2 linked regions of the Notamacropus eugenii genome follow. The protein of the gene in region 2 purifies or fractionates together with the protein of the main gene of each other region. This does not show direct contact. Links are inferred from orthologs where the notes say so. Each region holds a gene or a part of one and is shown on either strand. Other genes may lie near its edges. The genes, in order: GOLIM4 and PTPRU.

Region 1 (7,442 bases), on a different chromosome or scaffold from region 2:
TCTGGGCCCAGCCCAGCTCACAGATGGATGGTGCCTATAGCTATGAAGTTTCTGTTTGCTAAAAATACCTTACTTTCTTCTAATTTGGTCACAGAAAACACACAGGCAAAGGGGTGGGTTTAATTTTCTCTTCTGACTTATTATATTTTTTTTAAATTAGAAAAAGCATCCAGAAGAACTAAAGTGACCTGGAGGCATTGTTTTAATGTGTCTCCATAACAATCTTCCACAAGACTCAAGCCAACATTTATTAAGCAACCACTTGGCGTGAAACCCCAGGAAGGGGAGATGAGGACATTAAAGAAAATAGTCCTGGCCCAAGGTATACTGGACAGCCAATAGTCAGTCAACAAACTCTTTACTAAGTGTACCAAGTACTGTTTGAAACACTGGGGATATTAAAAAAAAAAAAAAAGAATAATCTCAATCTCTGCTCCCAGGAAACATACATTCAAATGGGGGAGAAAACAAGCAAATATCTAGATACACACAAGATACAGGCAGAGTATATGAAGGTAATTTGAAAGTTATCTTGCAGAAAAGGCTCTGTCAAAAGATTCTCTACAAATCCCAGACTCCTTACATTTAAAAGTGACTCCAGGTAGGAAACAGCTAAAAAGTAACTAGAGTTTCAGACTTTCAAAGTCTCCAAAGGCTAAAGGACGCTTTCCCACTAGCACTATTTACCATACGTAGTGTTTATTTTGAATCCATGAATTATTTATGTGATTTTGACACTTCCATTAGATATACTGATAGATAGAAGCTGAGCGAGTCTATGGCCTGGTTGGGACTGGGATTTGCTGAGGCTCGGCCAAGTGATCAATTGCACTCTGGGTCCAGAAGAAACATTTTTGAAAATAAGCCATGTGGGATGCACCAAAGGTAAGTGAAGGTAAACAAGTCATTAAGTGTCACATGGTATATACAATGTAAACATTCCAAACCTCTCCAATCCATCTACACTGACAAACAGACGGGAAACACAAACCCAGAGGCACAAGTCACAGTTAATTCCAGTTAATTCTCCATTTGCTTAGACCAGGGGATGATTTTGAAAATTTTAATTCCTAGCTGGATCAATTTCAGTCAAAGGGCAATGACCTCTTTCTTGTCCCTGAATTTCCTCATTCTCACTGGTTGGATCCAAGCAAAAAGAAACTTTCAAAATGCTGGGTCCCGTCTGACAGGTTCTGGGTGGACAGCGTGGTGGGAAGGGTGCTGCTATGTATGGGCACTCAAGCTCTTCCTCTCCCACTGCATCCAACCCACTAGGCTCCCTTTCCAACCTGCAAGGAGGAACCATATTGGATTTCACCAGATGTTAGTGCTCTTTCTGATTACTTTGTATTTTAATTTGTACATGTGGTATGTCTACCTATCTCTGTACCAATTCATCTCTAAGCTCCTGGAGGGCAGGCAGGGACAGCTTTTGGTTTCGTTATACTCATCACATAGCTGAGTGAGAGTTTCATTTCTTCCAGAATTGGAAGAGATCCAAGAGGCCATCTGCTCCAATCTCCTCAGTTTACAGATAAAGAAACTGAGACTCAAAGAGTTTAGGTGACTTGCTCAAGGTCAGACAGCTAGTAAACGTGGAAAATAAGATTTTAGCCTGCATCTTCCTGACTAAAAGTCCAGGACCTCAAGCGACTCTTCCATGATGCCATAGTATTAAATGCTAGAGGAACTGATAAAGACTTGCGGGAACACCTCCTCCCTCCCAGAGGATTTCAACTTAACCACCCCTGGGCTCAATTCTGGCTGGACCACTTCCAGACTGCATGTAGGTCAAGCCACTTCATGTCTGCAGGCCTCAGTTTCTCTATCTGAAAAATGAGGGCGCTGGGCAGATAATCTCTGGGGCCCTTTCCAGCTTTAGCCTTCTCTAATCATGACATAATGTAAGTGACAAAGGGACTGTCCAGGGACAGAAACCCAAATCTGCTTACTGTCTACTTAAAATCTGCTTACTGTCTCTGGGCCTGAGAAAGATAATGGGCTTGAACTAACTTGATCTTTAAGAAAAGAAGAATGCCATTATAACCCTCAGATTGACTTTGTGGTGCCCTGCCAATGACAATCTCAGAACCTACTGGAAACACAAGGATGCAGGGAGGGGTGGGTCCTATTGCTTAACAGGTACAAGGGGCAGGGAGGCATCCTGGCATCATATTCACCACGAGGTCAAGGGCGCTGCCTCAGTTCCCAACACACCGGTGAGTGAACCCTAAACCCGAGGCAGAAAGGCAACTTTTGATGGCGGGCTGCGTGGGTGCGCCCGTGCCGGCCGGCGGGAGTCTGGGTGCGTTCCTCGCACGCGCTGCCCCCCGGGCCGGCCCCGCTCCGCCCCGGGGGCCCCCCGGGTACCTTGCAGCTGGGCAGAGAGGGCCTCCTGGTGCTGCTGGTACTTGAGCGCCACCGCCTCGGCTTTGCGCAGCTGGCTCTGCAGCTCGTAGTACAGCATGGCCCCGTAGAGGACGCCGAACACCACGGTGAGCAGCAGCAGCGTCTGGAAGATCCGTTTCTGCTTTCGGGAGCACATCCCGTTTCCCATAGTCCCCGTTTCGGCCCCCCGAGCCTCCTCCTCCTCCTCCTCCTCCTCGTCTTCTGCGCCCCGAGCGCCTCAACAGCTGCAGCCGCCGCAGGAGGGGGCTGCAGCAGCCGGCAGCAGCGGCAGCATCGGGCACGGGTCCGAGAGAAGGGAGCAGGCGCCGTCCAGGCAGGACCCCCGGGGCACAGCGGCGCGCGCTCGCTTCAGCCCCCGGGCACCGCCGGGCGGGCTGCCATGGACGTGGCCCGCGCTATCGCCCCGGCCGCTCCAACTCCAACTCGTCGAGGCAGCCGCGGAGCAGCAAACTTTTCCCGAGTGCCGGCGCCCGCGCGGGGGCCCTTCGCATGCTTCGGGGCGGGCTGCCCGGGCTCCCGGTGCCCCTGGCCCGGCGGGGCCGAGCTGGCGGCCGGCAGCCGCTTCCCTGCCCCGCGGGATCCCGGCGCGAGGGCTTCAGAGCGGTCCGGGTCCCGCCAGGCCGGCTCCCAGCGGGGCTGCTCCGGCTCGGGCGCTACTTTGTTGCCACCTAAAGGAGGGTGAGAGTAGGACAAAGGGAGGAGAGGCTGGCCCCGGTGCGCTGGCCGGCGGCTTAGCCCGGGCACATCGCGGCGGGGCTGGGCTGGGCTGGGCTGGGCTGCGCGGGGCTGGGCTGCGCGGGGCTGGGCTGCGCTGGCCTGGCCTGGCTGGGCTCGGGGGGGGGCTCGCTGCCGCTCGGAGCGCCGCTTCTGGCCGGGCCACAGCTTCCCACTCAACTTACGTGTCACCCACCAGCCCAGCTCCTCCGGCCAACGGGATTCCGGGAGGAAGTCCCGCGCGCGGCTCTGCGCTCATTGGGCTGGTCCGAGCGGCCCCTCCCTCCCTTTGGGGAGGCAGGGCCCGGCTCCATTGGGCGCCCGCTCTGTCTGTCTGGCCGGAGGGCTCTGGCGGCCCGCCCCCTGCGCGGCCGGAGGGGCTACCTGGCGTGGGGAGGCGGCGGCCGGCGGGGTCCGCGGGGTGCCCACGTGGAGCCTGCGGGGGGTGGGGAGGAGGAGGAGCGGAGGGGACTTGGCTGGGTACGCGCGTGGGAGTCTGCGCACGTGTGTGGTGACTGTGGGGGGGGCGTTGTGTGTTTGTTATGTGTGCTGTCCGCATGAAGTGAGACACGCGAACCGCTGTGCGAGTGTGCGCATCCCAGGTGGAAGCAGTGTGGAAGGGAGGAGGAGCAGGGGGCAGGGGGCACAGCCTGGAAGGGAGGAGGAGCAGGGGGCGGGGGGCACACCCTGGAAGGGAGGAGGAGCAGGGGGCGGGGGGCACAGCCTGGAAGGGAGGAGGAGCAGGGGGCGGGGGGCACAGCCTGGAAGGGAGGAGGAGCAGGGGGCGGGGGGCACAGCCTGGAAGGGAGGAGGAGCAGGGGGCGGGGGGCACAGCCTGGAAGGGAGGAGGAGCAGGGGGCGGGGGGCACACCCCCGAGTTCACAGAGGACGTGGGGTGTGGAATGCAGGGCCCTGGGTGGACATGCTGCAGTCCCACACGCGAAGTGCAACGTCTGCGAACCAGCATCCTCAGATGGCACCTGGCACCAGATACGCACACGGGGTCCTACGCAGGGCACATTCCTAGGTGTGTGCGTCCCCAGATGGGAATGTCTGCCCAGAATTAGTGTCAGCCGTTACAGAGGCGCTTGGAAATCAGCCTGTGAGTGGCAAAGAGGAGGAAAAATTGAGCTCTTGTTCCCCCACCCTCAGTAGAACAATTTTAAAAACAAACTTCCTAGGCTGAAATGAGTTTGCATTCCTTTCGTCTTATCTATTTTATTGGTGGCAAAAAAACCAAGTTATGAAAAAGCAACATTTGCAAATTACCTTGTAAAAGGCAAGGAGTGTCTAGGTAAAATAATTGAAACTTATTAGCAAAACTGGGAAACATTCTCTACTTCAAAAAGAAAAGCAAATCTGCAGTGCAGGCATATTTTGAGATGGATACTTGAGGGGGGGAATTCAGGTTATGCGCACCTATAAAATGATAATTATATTTCTGTCCTTGACCTGAATTCTAAGAAAAGTAAGCTATTTCCCAGATGCTTCCTTATTAATAGTGATATTCATTATATGCCCCATCATTTTTATGACATTCTGGCAGGATTTTACTGTTTGTCATTGTAGCGAGCACTAGGAATCTTTTTAGAGCATAAAGGCAATTTGTTATCATTGGTAAGTTGTGTCTGACTCGGTGACCCCAGCTGCAATTTTCTTGGGTAAGATGCTGGAGTGGTTTACTGTTTCTTTTTCCAGCTCATTTTACAGATGAGGAAACTGAAGTAAATAAGGTTATGGGATTTGCCCAGGGTCACACAGCTGGTAAGTGCTGGATTTGAACTCAGGAAGAGGAGTCTTTCTGATTCCAACCTAATGCTCTATCCACTGTGCCATCTGGCTGCTAAACATTGCCTGGTGCAGTCAGGGTTGGCATAAATTTAGAGAACCTCTCTCCCACCAAATGTTCACACGAATTATTTGTGCCTGACCTGTGGTAGAGCATTCTGAGCTTGTATCGCTTTGATTAGTCACAGTTGAACACACTGAAACTTGATTCTAGCATAGTGATGTAATTTTGGTCCTCTGAGAAGGGCGGACAGCAACCAACCACATGCCTGGCACTGTGCTAAGTACTGGGGATGCAACAATAAAAAGAAAGCTAGATCTTGTCCTCAAGGACCTTACAGTCTAAAGGGAGAGACACACAAAAGGAGGTGGGAGGAAGGTAGGGACTGAATTTTAGGGGGTACCTGGTGCCGGAGCATTTTGTCCTGTGGAGTTGAAACCAGGGAGAGAAGCAGATGCCAAGTGGAGATGCAAAGGCCAATCAGGATACTATTGAAATAGGCAAGGTGAGAGATGATATAGTCCTGAATGAAGTCAAAGTTGAGAAGCCCAATTTCTGCCCTTTATAAAGGAAAGAATTGGGAGAAGTTTGGAACTCTGCCCTCCAATCAGAAGGCTGAAAATTAATCAAGTAGAGTTAGCCACATGGGGATGAGATTAGAAGTGATGAGTTTACTCTGGGAGGGATGGAGTTGAAACCAGGTAGGGCAGCAGATACAAAGAGAAATAAATTGAGAGTCTATTTTCTGCTCTCTTTATAAAGGAAGGAATTTGGGAGGACTACGTACAAAGCGCTTTGCTAGATGCTAGAGATTAAAAGACCAAAAAAAAAAGAAAACCAGTCTGACTTCGAAGAGCTTACATAGTGCTTTACAGGAGACTACATTTGAACAGGTAAGTGTAAAATAACATTAAAGTTATCTCAAGAGAGGGGGAGCAATAATAATCAGAAGAATCAATCAATTAACAAAAATTTATTAGCCACGTGTGCTAGTAATTGGGCCCAGATTTAGATCAGGAAAATGCTTGTGTATAAGATAGCACCCAAGTTAAGCTTTGAAGGAAGTCAGTAGACTGAAGAGGAAGAGCTTTCCAGGTACAGAGGCAGTCTCTTACAAGAGATAGAATGTAGGAGAACTGGCACAGCATGACCTTTTTGTCTGAAATGTAGAGTGGATGAAGTGGAGAAACAAAATAATTTGGAAGTGTAAGCTGGAGCTGGACTGGGTTTGAAAATACCAATGGCTATGTTTGCATGTTATTCTAGAGACAATAGGCAACTGTGGCAGCATCTTTGAACTTTGAGAAGTTTCTTTTGGCAGCAGTGTGGAAGAGGGAATTGGAAAGGGAAGAGACTGGAAGCAGGAAGACCAGTCAGGATGCCATTGAAATAGGTTAGGTGAGAGATGATCCAGTTCTGCATGAGGTCAAAGACTTAATAGAGGAGGAAAATGAACAAATTCAGTAGAGATAAACAGAGAATTAATAAGGCTTGTCAAACTGATTGGATGTGGGAAAGGAATGAGAGAGAGAGAGAGGGAAGGGTCAAGGATGACTTTCAATTTGCAAACATGGGAATCTGGCAGAAGAGTGATACCCTCAACTGAACAAGTGAGGAACCAGGTCTACAGGTTAAAGGACCTGCCAAGGTTACCCATCAACTGGTGATGAAATCAGAACTCTAGTCACTGTCTGTGGTATTTGTGGCTGTGGTATTTTTTATGAAAAAGTGTAGCATTTTCACCAACCTGGTAAACCAGTTAAAACCACAAGACTTTATCTTATATTTTTAAATGACAATTTGATGGTAGAAAGATCTTATCCTCAATAAGTCTTCTATTTAAAAATAAAGAATTTTAACTTATTTTCTGTAAACTTTTCCTGATTCCCCCAGATGCCAAGATCCCCTTCTATTTGTATGTATGTATATACATACATGTGTGTATATATGTACAAAATATGTGTATATGTATGTGTGTATACATATGTGTATATACTTATGCATGTTTTGTGATGTTTAAAAAGTTTGAGAGGCAAAATTTCTGCATAATTAATTATTAAATGAATAATGCTGGCAATTGGTCAGCTAGGTGATGCAGTGGATGGAGCACTGACCCTGGAGTCAGGAGGACCTGAATGCAAATCTAGTCTGAGACACTTGATACTTACTAGCTGTGTGACCCTGGGCAAATCACTTAACCCAGATTGGCTGGTGGTAAAAAAAAAAAAAAAGCAACAAAAAATAATGCTAGCATTTTATTAATAAAAGAGTTTAGTGGTTCTCTCAAATGCCAAAGACCCCTTATGGTGGTGGGCTCGCAGTTTATATGCCCTTGGAAGAGTGAGTGTTCTTGAGGATGACAATCAACTCTGATTGGTTGACAATTAATGAGAGAATGAATATTGCAATAGAGGTAGACTCACTCCAATGAGGGACTGAGTGACATCATGTCACTGGACTGTCTCTACACAGAGACCACCCCTAACCCTGACCTACAAAGGATCTACCTCCACCCATACTTGCTTGAGTG
Region 2 (8,049 bases):
CCCTCTCTCCCCACTTTCTCTCTCCATGTTGTCTCCCCTGATAGAATATAAGCTCTTTGAAGGCAGGGACTGTTTTTGTACCCCCAATGGCTAGCACCATACCTGGCATGTAGTAGTCACTGAATAAAAATTAATTAATTGATGGATGGATTGCTAACCCATTGCCATGGTACTCTGGCTTAGCCCATGCTGCCTCTGATCTCCTCCTAGGACAGTCCCAGAAGCAACTTTCTTGTGTCCTGGCATCTCTCCCCCTAACAAACAAACTGAATTGATGGTACAAAGTTTATCTGGGGTTATGTTTATGTTACTGGTCCCAGCCATGTTTTGTACTCTTGTCTCAGACATGAAAATTACCTCTGTATCCCCAATTGCATCAGTGTGGTTATGGCCCCGGCTTGAACCCTAGTAGCTTCTGTCTTGCTGTGCTACTTTGGAAAAGTCACCTTTCCTGAGCCTTGGAAGTATGGATAATCCTACTCCCTAAGGGGGGGACAAATAGTACAATGATCATATAGGCACTTGAAGCTTTTTGGGAAAAGTTCCATGGGGAGGTGAGAGGTTTTCTTTTCTTGCAGCATTATAGTATAACTAATAGTGCAGCCTTACATCACGGTGGTCCTTTACAGGATTCAAAGCATTTTCACCTACAGTAGTAGCTCATTGGATTAGCTGAAGTGGTATTGCCTGGAGATTTCTGACATCGGTGCTTTCCCACTGGGAAGGATGTGGGCTCTTGGGAAGGAGTAAACAGAGACAAGAACTCAGCGCTGTTCAAGCACCCCAGCAGAGGGCCTTTGAATGGCCCCTCACAAAGGGACCCAGGGGATAGGAAGCAGTGCTGATCTTGTTATCCCTGCTTTACAGATGAGTTTGATGGAGTTTGTCTAGGCCAAAGCCATGTTTATGTATCAGCACCAGGAGAGGTTAAGGGTCTTCTGGCCCACAGCTACAGGTTGTTGTTTGTTTTTCATTTTTAAGAGGTCCAATGACATCATGGGGTGATGTCTTGATTTGTGAATAAATTAGATTTAAGTGAGGCAGAGTTGCACGAAATTGCCAGCCTGACTAGCTCTTCCAGAATCATCAAAGTCCAGGGTCACACAGGGTCACACAGCTGGACAAAAGTCATTGATTGGTGACGGCCTGGGATGCAGTGGATGACCTTGGCACATAACACCTGCTTCAACTGCTTTCATGGTCATTGGAACAAACTGTTCTCATCCGCCCATTCCACTGAAGTTTTGGGGTAGACATCCCCCTAATTCACTGGGTGGTTTTGGAGGCCCATCAATTACCTTCAATTTAGTCTAGTCTGTCTTCCCAGAGGTTTACCTGGGTGTGTCCAATGAGTATACTACAGCTTCTTGGAGCCACTGGTGAGAGCTAGGTGAAGGTGGACACCAAAGGTGGATGAGCAGTCCTGAAAAGGGTATGCCCTCATGCCAGAGGTGCTGGTCCTCCTGAACACCCCTCCCCTCAACTCCATAGCCCACAGTTACATAATTAGTAAATGGCAGAAGGTGGGGCAGGGCTGAGGTAGGGAGGGGGAAGAGTGCCTCCAAACCAGGTCTTCTTACTTCCAGTACTACATGAAAATTAGAGCTATCCCAGAGAGCAATGGGCTGCCTTGGGAGGTAAGGATAATAGTATTTGTATAGTGTAGGAGTGGGGAACCTGTGGCCTCAAGGTCACATGTGGTCCTCTAGGTTCTCAAGTGCAGCCAGAATTCAGTCAAGGACTGCAGGCTCCCCAATCCTGAAGGGCTTTAAGGTTTGTAAACCACTTTATATAAACCTTATGATAACCCTGTGACTAGGTGCTATCTTACTGATGAGGAAACTGAAGCAAATGGAGATACCTTGCCAGGAGACCCATAGGTAGTAAATATCTGAGGTAGGATTTGAATTCAGATCTTCCTGACTCCCAAGTCCCACATTGTGCCCATCACAGGCAAGAGGCTGGATGACTTTTTTTGGGGGTTGTTGTGTGTGTGTGTGTAGTATGGACTAGAAGTGTTCAGAGGTCAATTCAATTCAGCAAGCCTTAATGAAGTGCTTGCTGTATACTAGACACCAGGAGATAACAAATACAAAAATGACAGTCTTTATCCTCACATTCCTTCTAGTGGAGGGAATCAACATGGAAATAGAGAAATATAAACACAACGGATGCAAAATAATTAGTTTTTGGAGGTGGGAGGTGGAGGGGTAGCACCAGCAACTGGAGGAATCAACAAAAGCCTTTTTTAGGACTTGATATCTGAGCCCAGGCTTGAAGGGAGCTAGGGGTTCCAAGAGGCAGAGGTGAGGAAGGAGAACATAGTTTGGGCAAAGGTGTAGAGGTGGGAGAAGGAATACTATTTTCTGGTTAAGAGAAACAATAGGAGTAAACAAAAGTCCTTGGAAAATACCTAAAGAAAAAAATCATTCTTAAAAAAACCAGACAAATAAGAATGACAGATTAGGGAGCCTCAGATATGCCAATTTGGCTGGAACTTAGAGCTAATGAGGGTAAGGAGTATTGTTCCCTTCTAAAGCTACTCTAAGATTTTGAGACTCTACACAGTACCGTACACTGTCTCTAATGCCCTAGACTCTTTGCCTTAAGGAGGCCAGAAACCAAGGGCTCTGGACATTAGGCCCCTCTCCAAGGCCTTTGCCCTGGGCACTAGTGGCTTGAATTCCATACAGAGGTATCTAGAGAATACTAACCGCAGTTCAAGTAAACAGTCAGTTGCCTGAGGGACTGCTAGGACTCTAGCGTCCTGCAGAGGGAGACACCACTGATTGTAGACTGTTGAAGGAATCATAGGCTTTAAAGCTGGAAGGAATCTTAGAAAGCATTCAGTGCAAGCTTTTCATTTCATCGGTGAGGAAACTGCAGGCCAGAGACTTTGTGAATTTCCCAAGATCTCAAAGACAGCAGCAAAGAGCAGTCACTTTCTCTTAGTAGGGTAGAGAGATTATCAGGAGGGCTATGGATGGTTAGCAACTGCCTGGAGTGTAGCACAGGAATACATGTATATGTGTGTGTCTGTATATATGTATACAGACACAAACCACATATACATATATATATACACATACACATATATACACATATATATGTATGATATATGTATATGTACATATATGCATGCAGTATTTGCAATTCCAAAAAATTATTATTATTTTTGTCAAGGGAATTTCCCCTGCTCTCCTCAAGCACCAGGGCATAGTAGAAAAAAAAATGATGGTTTTGAAATCTCAGAATTTGTGTTCAAAGTCTTACTTTCACTTTCTACCTGTGGGGACCCTGGGTCTTAGTTTATTCAACTATAAAATGAGGGGATTGGACTAGCTGACCTTTAATACCCCTTCCAACTCTAAGTCTATGATCTTACATATTGTGTGATCAATCAAATCCCATACATTTTTGGGGAAAGTGTAAAGCTTCCATCCTGAATATATCCTTTATGTACCTAGTCCTTTGCATGCTACTTCCCCCACTGGACTATGAGCTTCTTGAGAGTGGGGTCTGTTTTGGCTTTTTTTTGTATCTTCAGCTCTTAGCAAAATACCTGGCACACAGTATGTGATTAATAAATGTTTGTTGACTGATCACATGCATATTTGAGGGAAGATGGAAAGGATATTTGAGTCAAGATGCCTGAATTCCAGTTTTTAACTGTCCTTGGCTGTGGGACTTTGGGCAAGTCATTTCCTCTTCTCTGAGGTTTAGATTCTCCATCTATAAAGTGATGTGTCTGAGTATAAGATCAATAATGTTTGACATTGTATTTTAACATTTTATATACTAAGTCTCCTTACAATTTTAATGTTATGTGCTTTAAGGTTCCTAGATATGCCATTTTATGGCTCCTATTTTATGGCTAGGTTACTCCTAGCTCTGCCATTCTAAGTTCTAAGGGGTCTTCCAGCTCTGACATTCTCCATTCTAACATTCTGTCTAGTTTTAACCTTCTGTGTTCTAAGATCTCTCCTAGCTCCGACATCCTGTGTTCTAAGATCCCTCTCAGATCTGACATTCTACAGTCTAAAGGCCCTTCCAGTTCTAACATTTTAAGGTTTAAGATCCCCTTTAGTATCTGCCATTTCATGATTCTTTGACGTTTACTTGAATGGGAACCTTATGGTCCTCAGGGCCTTGTGTATGATCTGACAGGTCTGACAGGTGACTGTTTATATTCTTCTACTAGGGTATAAGGCTCTCTGAATTTGTGTAGGGTTGAAAGTATGTGTATGAGTGAGTGGTTTGTGGAAGGCTGCTTTCCTAGGTGTGCTGTAGAATACGTGTTTGAATGTGCCAAGAGGATAGACCCGGTAAAAGGGGCTGCGGAGGGACCAGCTTCAGGTCCTGGTGCTGGTCGCATGGGACAGTGATCCCAGGGTTGAGTGCCTCAGTGACCCAGAAGGGAGAGTGTGTACAAAACCAAGAGTCTAATGGGATTCCGGACATTTTAACTGACCGGACTGGAGAACGGTGGGCGCACCAGCGGCTTAGGATGCCCCCGTATCGGTGCCGTTCTGTTGTTCCCAGTTCCGTGGCCCTAGCGGTGATTCGGGGGTCGCGGCCCTCCCCCTCTCACTTCCCTGCGGGTTGTGGGGTTCGCAGTCCCTGCCCAGCTTCTCCAGACCTCCGCACTTCCACACAAGGACCGGCAGGAGGCGCCCCCCACCTTTGGAACGCGAGGCCGCTGCTCGGGCTCCTGACGTCAGGGCTCCGGCTCCGGCTCCAGCGCCCGCTCCGGACTCAGTGCCAGTCCCGGCTCCGCTCCGGCTCCGGCGGCTCGGGAGGCTCCGGGGTTCCGGTCTACGCTCCTTCCCCGTGGCCCCGGGGCCCTCGAGGGTGGCGCACGATGACCGGCGCCCAGGCGCTCATCCTGGCGCTCACCTTCCAGCTCTGCGCGCTGGAAAGCGAGACTCCCACAGGTAAGAGAACTGGATCCCCCCCCCCCCCCGCCGGGACTCCCCACCCCCTCCCCGGGGGCCCCGCTTCCCGAACCCCAACTTGTGACCCGGGACCCCAAGCTGGGGACCCTTGGACCCGTGCACCTTGGGGCAGATAGGGCTGCGCAGCAAGGAAGTATGTGTGAGTGTTGTATGTGTCTGTGTGTGCGTGCTGAGACTGTGTGTCTGTGTGTGTCTCTGTGTGTGTCTGTGTTTGTGTGCGCGCAAAATGGTCAAACAACTTGTTTGTGCTACGCCCTGGGCTCCTGGGGGCCCGGGGCTCGGGCCAGGAGGGCAGCTTGGCCTGGAGGGGGTGTCGGCCGGCCGCTGACACCGACATGTTGTGGGTTGCTTTCTGTTGTTTCGCAAGTTCGGAGCGGCTCGCTCCGGAGACGGAGTCGAGCTTCGGTCAGCGCCCCGGGGCTCCCGGTCCATCGGTTTACACTGGCGGGGGGAGCTGGCGGGAACGTAGAAAGGGAATCTGGCCGGGCCTGGGGGCTGGAGGGAGGAGCCGGGCCGGAGGTGGGGGGAAGAGAGAGCCGAGGGGAACTGGGGAGGGGGGAGGGGGAGGGGGGAGAAGGAGGGAAGGAGAGAGGGAAAAGGAAGGAGGGAGTGGAGACGGGAAGAGAAGGCAGAGGGCAGCGAGAATGGGCAGAGAAAGGAGAAGGAAGAAAGGGTCGGGGAGAAAAGAGAGAGCGAGTCAGGAAAGGGGGACCTGGGAGCCAGAGACATCTCGGAGGAAGGCGGAGATGGGGAGAATCGAACAGACCGCAGAGGAGAGAGGAGGCACTCGGGGGAGAGCGGAGCTACTGTGGCCTGGCTGGGGCTGGTGGGGAGTGGGGGGTGGAGAAGGCTCTCAGTTGGGACTCAGGAGGGAGAGCCCGTTGGGAAGCCTCCGAGCTCGCCCGGCCTGGGAGAAGAGCAGCCGGGGTTGGGAGCAGGTTTCACCCGGGGGCACGTCGGCAAGTGCCTGCTTTGGCCATCTCTCCCCCCTCTTTGTCCTCCTGTCCCCTCTCGGTGATGCCCGCTCCTAGGAGGGAACAGCCTCAAGGAGAGGTCAGACTGGGCAGCGGATCCCTAGGGACCCTTACCCCCGCCGACTTCGTAACTTTGTACCCGGGTCTTTCCGCAATCCGGCACAGGTTGTGTCTGAGTGTGCCCGTGTGCGTGTCCGTGTGCTTGTCTCTGCGTGTCCCTCTGTCTAAGTGGCTCCTGTGCCTCTGTCCGTCCGTCTGTGTGACCCGTTCTTTATCTGTGTCGCCTTTCTGTCTGTTGTTTCCGTCCATCTGAGCGTGCCCTGTGTCTGTCTGTGCCCGTGTGTTTCGAAGTGTGTCCATTTCACAGTGGGTGTAGCGTGAGCCCAGTATGTGAGAGTGTGTGTGTGTGTGTGTGTGTGTGTGTGTGTGTGTGCGTGTGCGTGCTTGCTTGAGTGCGTCCGTCTAGTCCATGCCAGTGTGTGTCTGCCAGTGCACGATGGGGGGAGGGACACCAACCACGCCGGTCCTCTTCTCCCGGCCTGGGAGCACTTGGTCTCTTAACCCGGTGGAAGTGGAGGAGCGGGGGCGGGTGTGCCAAAAGGTGATGGCTCCGTCCCCCTCCAGTAACAACGCAGGTTCGCAGAGGGCCATCATGACCACGTCTTCCTCCCCTTTCGGGCTCCCGGGCCCCTGTTTTCCACAGCAGTTTGACTTAGGGGGCCCTGAGGCCTCTAGTGCCGCGCCCCGCGTCTGAGCTCAGCCTGGAGAGCCGAGGACTGACTTGGAGGCTGAAGGAAGGGAGCAGACTGCACCTTGTAACCTGGGGGAGGCCTGGATGATGGGGAGGGAGCTCCTAGAAGGGTTATCCCGGGATGATTCCTGGAGGGGCAGAGGTCACTGCAGCCCTGACCCTCGGCTGGGGTGGCCTCTGGATGTCTCCAAACTCCGCTGGAGAGATTTCTTTCCGCTCCGGTTTGGTGGCCCCCACCTCAAACCCAGACTGTCTGGCGCCTTCCTGTCGCCCATCACAACAGGACTCTGTCGAGATCTGAACTCGAAGAGCTGAATTCCAGTTTGGGTTTCCCAGGATGGCCAGTAACCTTTTGGGCCTAAGAAGGGGAGGTAGCTCCCAGCTGCTCCTATGACCCCCTTGGGGGCTCTATGGTTTCTCCGGAAAATAGATTCCCCCCATCAGCCAGTTTAATGTCCTGTATCCTGGAAAGGGGGATCCTTCTAAAGGACCCTGGATGGGGGTGGGGAGCAGGATCTCTTTCCTTTATTTGGGCAAGTCATGAATTTTCATTGGCCACCTTTCTGTGTACCTCTCCCCTCCCCGATCTTAGTTCCCACCCCACCCCCCAGGGTGGGGCCCTGATCACAGCCTTCTCTAAACCCCTCCTGATTAATAGAAGGTTCAGTCCAACTCCATGAACTGAGGTCATTTGTGCTGGGGGAAGGGAGCTTTGGGTCCTCATAACTGAGCTCTGTATGGTCCTGGGCTCTGAAGCGGAGAGGGAGGGGACCGGTGGCAAGGGAGTGGTGGGATAGCATTTCCTACTTTCCCTCTTCACCAGGTCTGGACTGGGGAGGAGAATGTTTAGAACTCCCGCTGTTCCAAGGACTGGGGTAAAAATGGTCGAGGTTGGGATAATAGACTGGGTTGTCTCAGGAGGCAGAGAGCTAACCCATCAGAGTCCAAGCTGGATGCCCACTGGCTTGGGATTTCTGCATAGATAAAAGCCCAATTCCCTGACCTCTGAGGACCCCTGACTTCTTTGAGATAGTGTACATCCTGATTCCTGGGGTCAGTGTAGACATCTCAGCCCTTGGGTGCCTAGAAACAGACTTTATTCTGTGCAGTGGGGGTGGGGATGGAGGGGTGGCAGTAGCCTTGTGGTATTTTGAGGTCCAAATGTAAAGTTAGAACAGCAAAGCCTGGCATACCTATTAGATAATGTAATGTTTCTGAGATGAATGAAAAATTTCTGGATGCTTTGGAAATAGCTGTTCTCTCCTTAGTACAGAGCTCAGGGCTGGAGAAATAAGGCCTCAGGAAGAAATCAGACTTGGGTGTTGCTTGTGGATAAATCTATGTACCTGAAAACTTTGTCTCGCCTTGT

What was found.
Region 1: the proteins of PTPRU (region 2) and GOLIM4 purify together in Homo sapiens (affinity purification with mass spectrometry; 3 studies listed by BioGRID and IntAct, counting the BioPlex papers as one, with this or other methods). This does not show direct contact. The link is inferred for Notamacropus eugenii from reciprocal best matches to the Homo sapiens genes PTPRU and GOLIM4.

Annotation. Positions count from the first base shown.
Region 1 is NC_092877.1:356,331,895-356,339,336, reverse strand, and holds the start of GOLIM4 (Golgi integral membrane protein 4), read right to left. Parts: upstream 3,012-7,442; 5' UTR 2,558-3,011; coding exon 2,371-2,557; intron 1-2,370. UniProt on the Homo sapiens protein: Plays a role in endosome to Golgi protein trafficking; mediates protein transport along the late endosome-bypass pathway from the early endosome to the Golgi.
Region 2 is NC_092876.1:70,423,341-70,431,389, forward strand, and holds the start of PTPRU (receptor-type tyrosine-protein phosphatase U), read left to right. Parts: upstream 1-4,745; 5' UTR 4,746-4,861; coding exon 4,862-4,934; intron 4,935-8,049.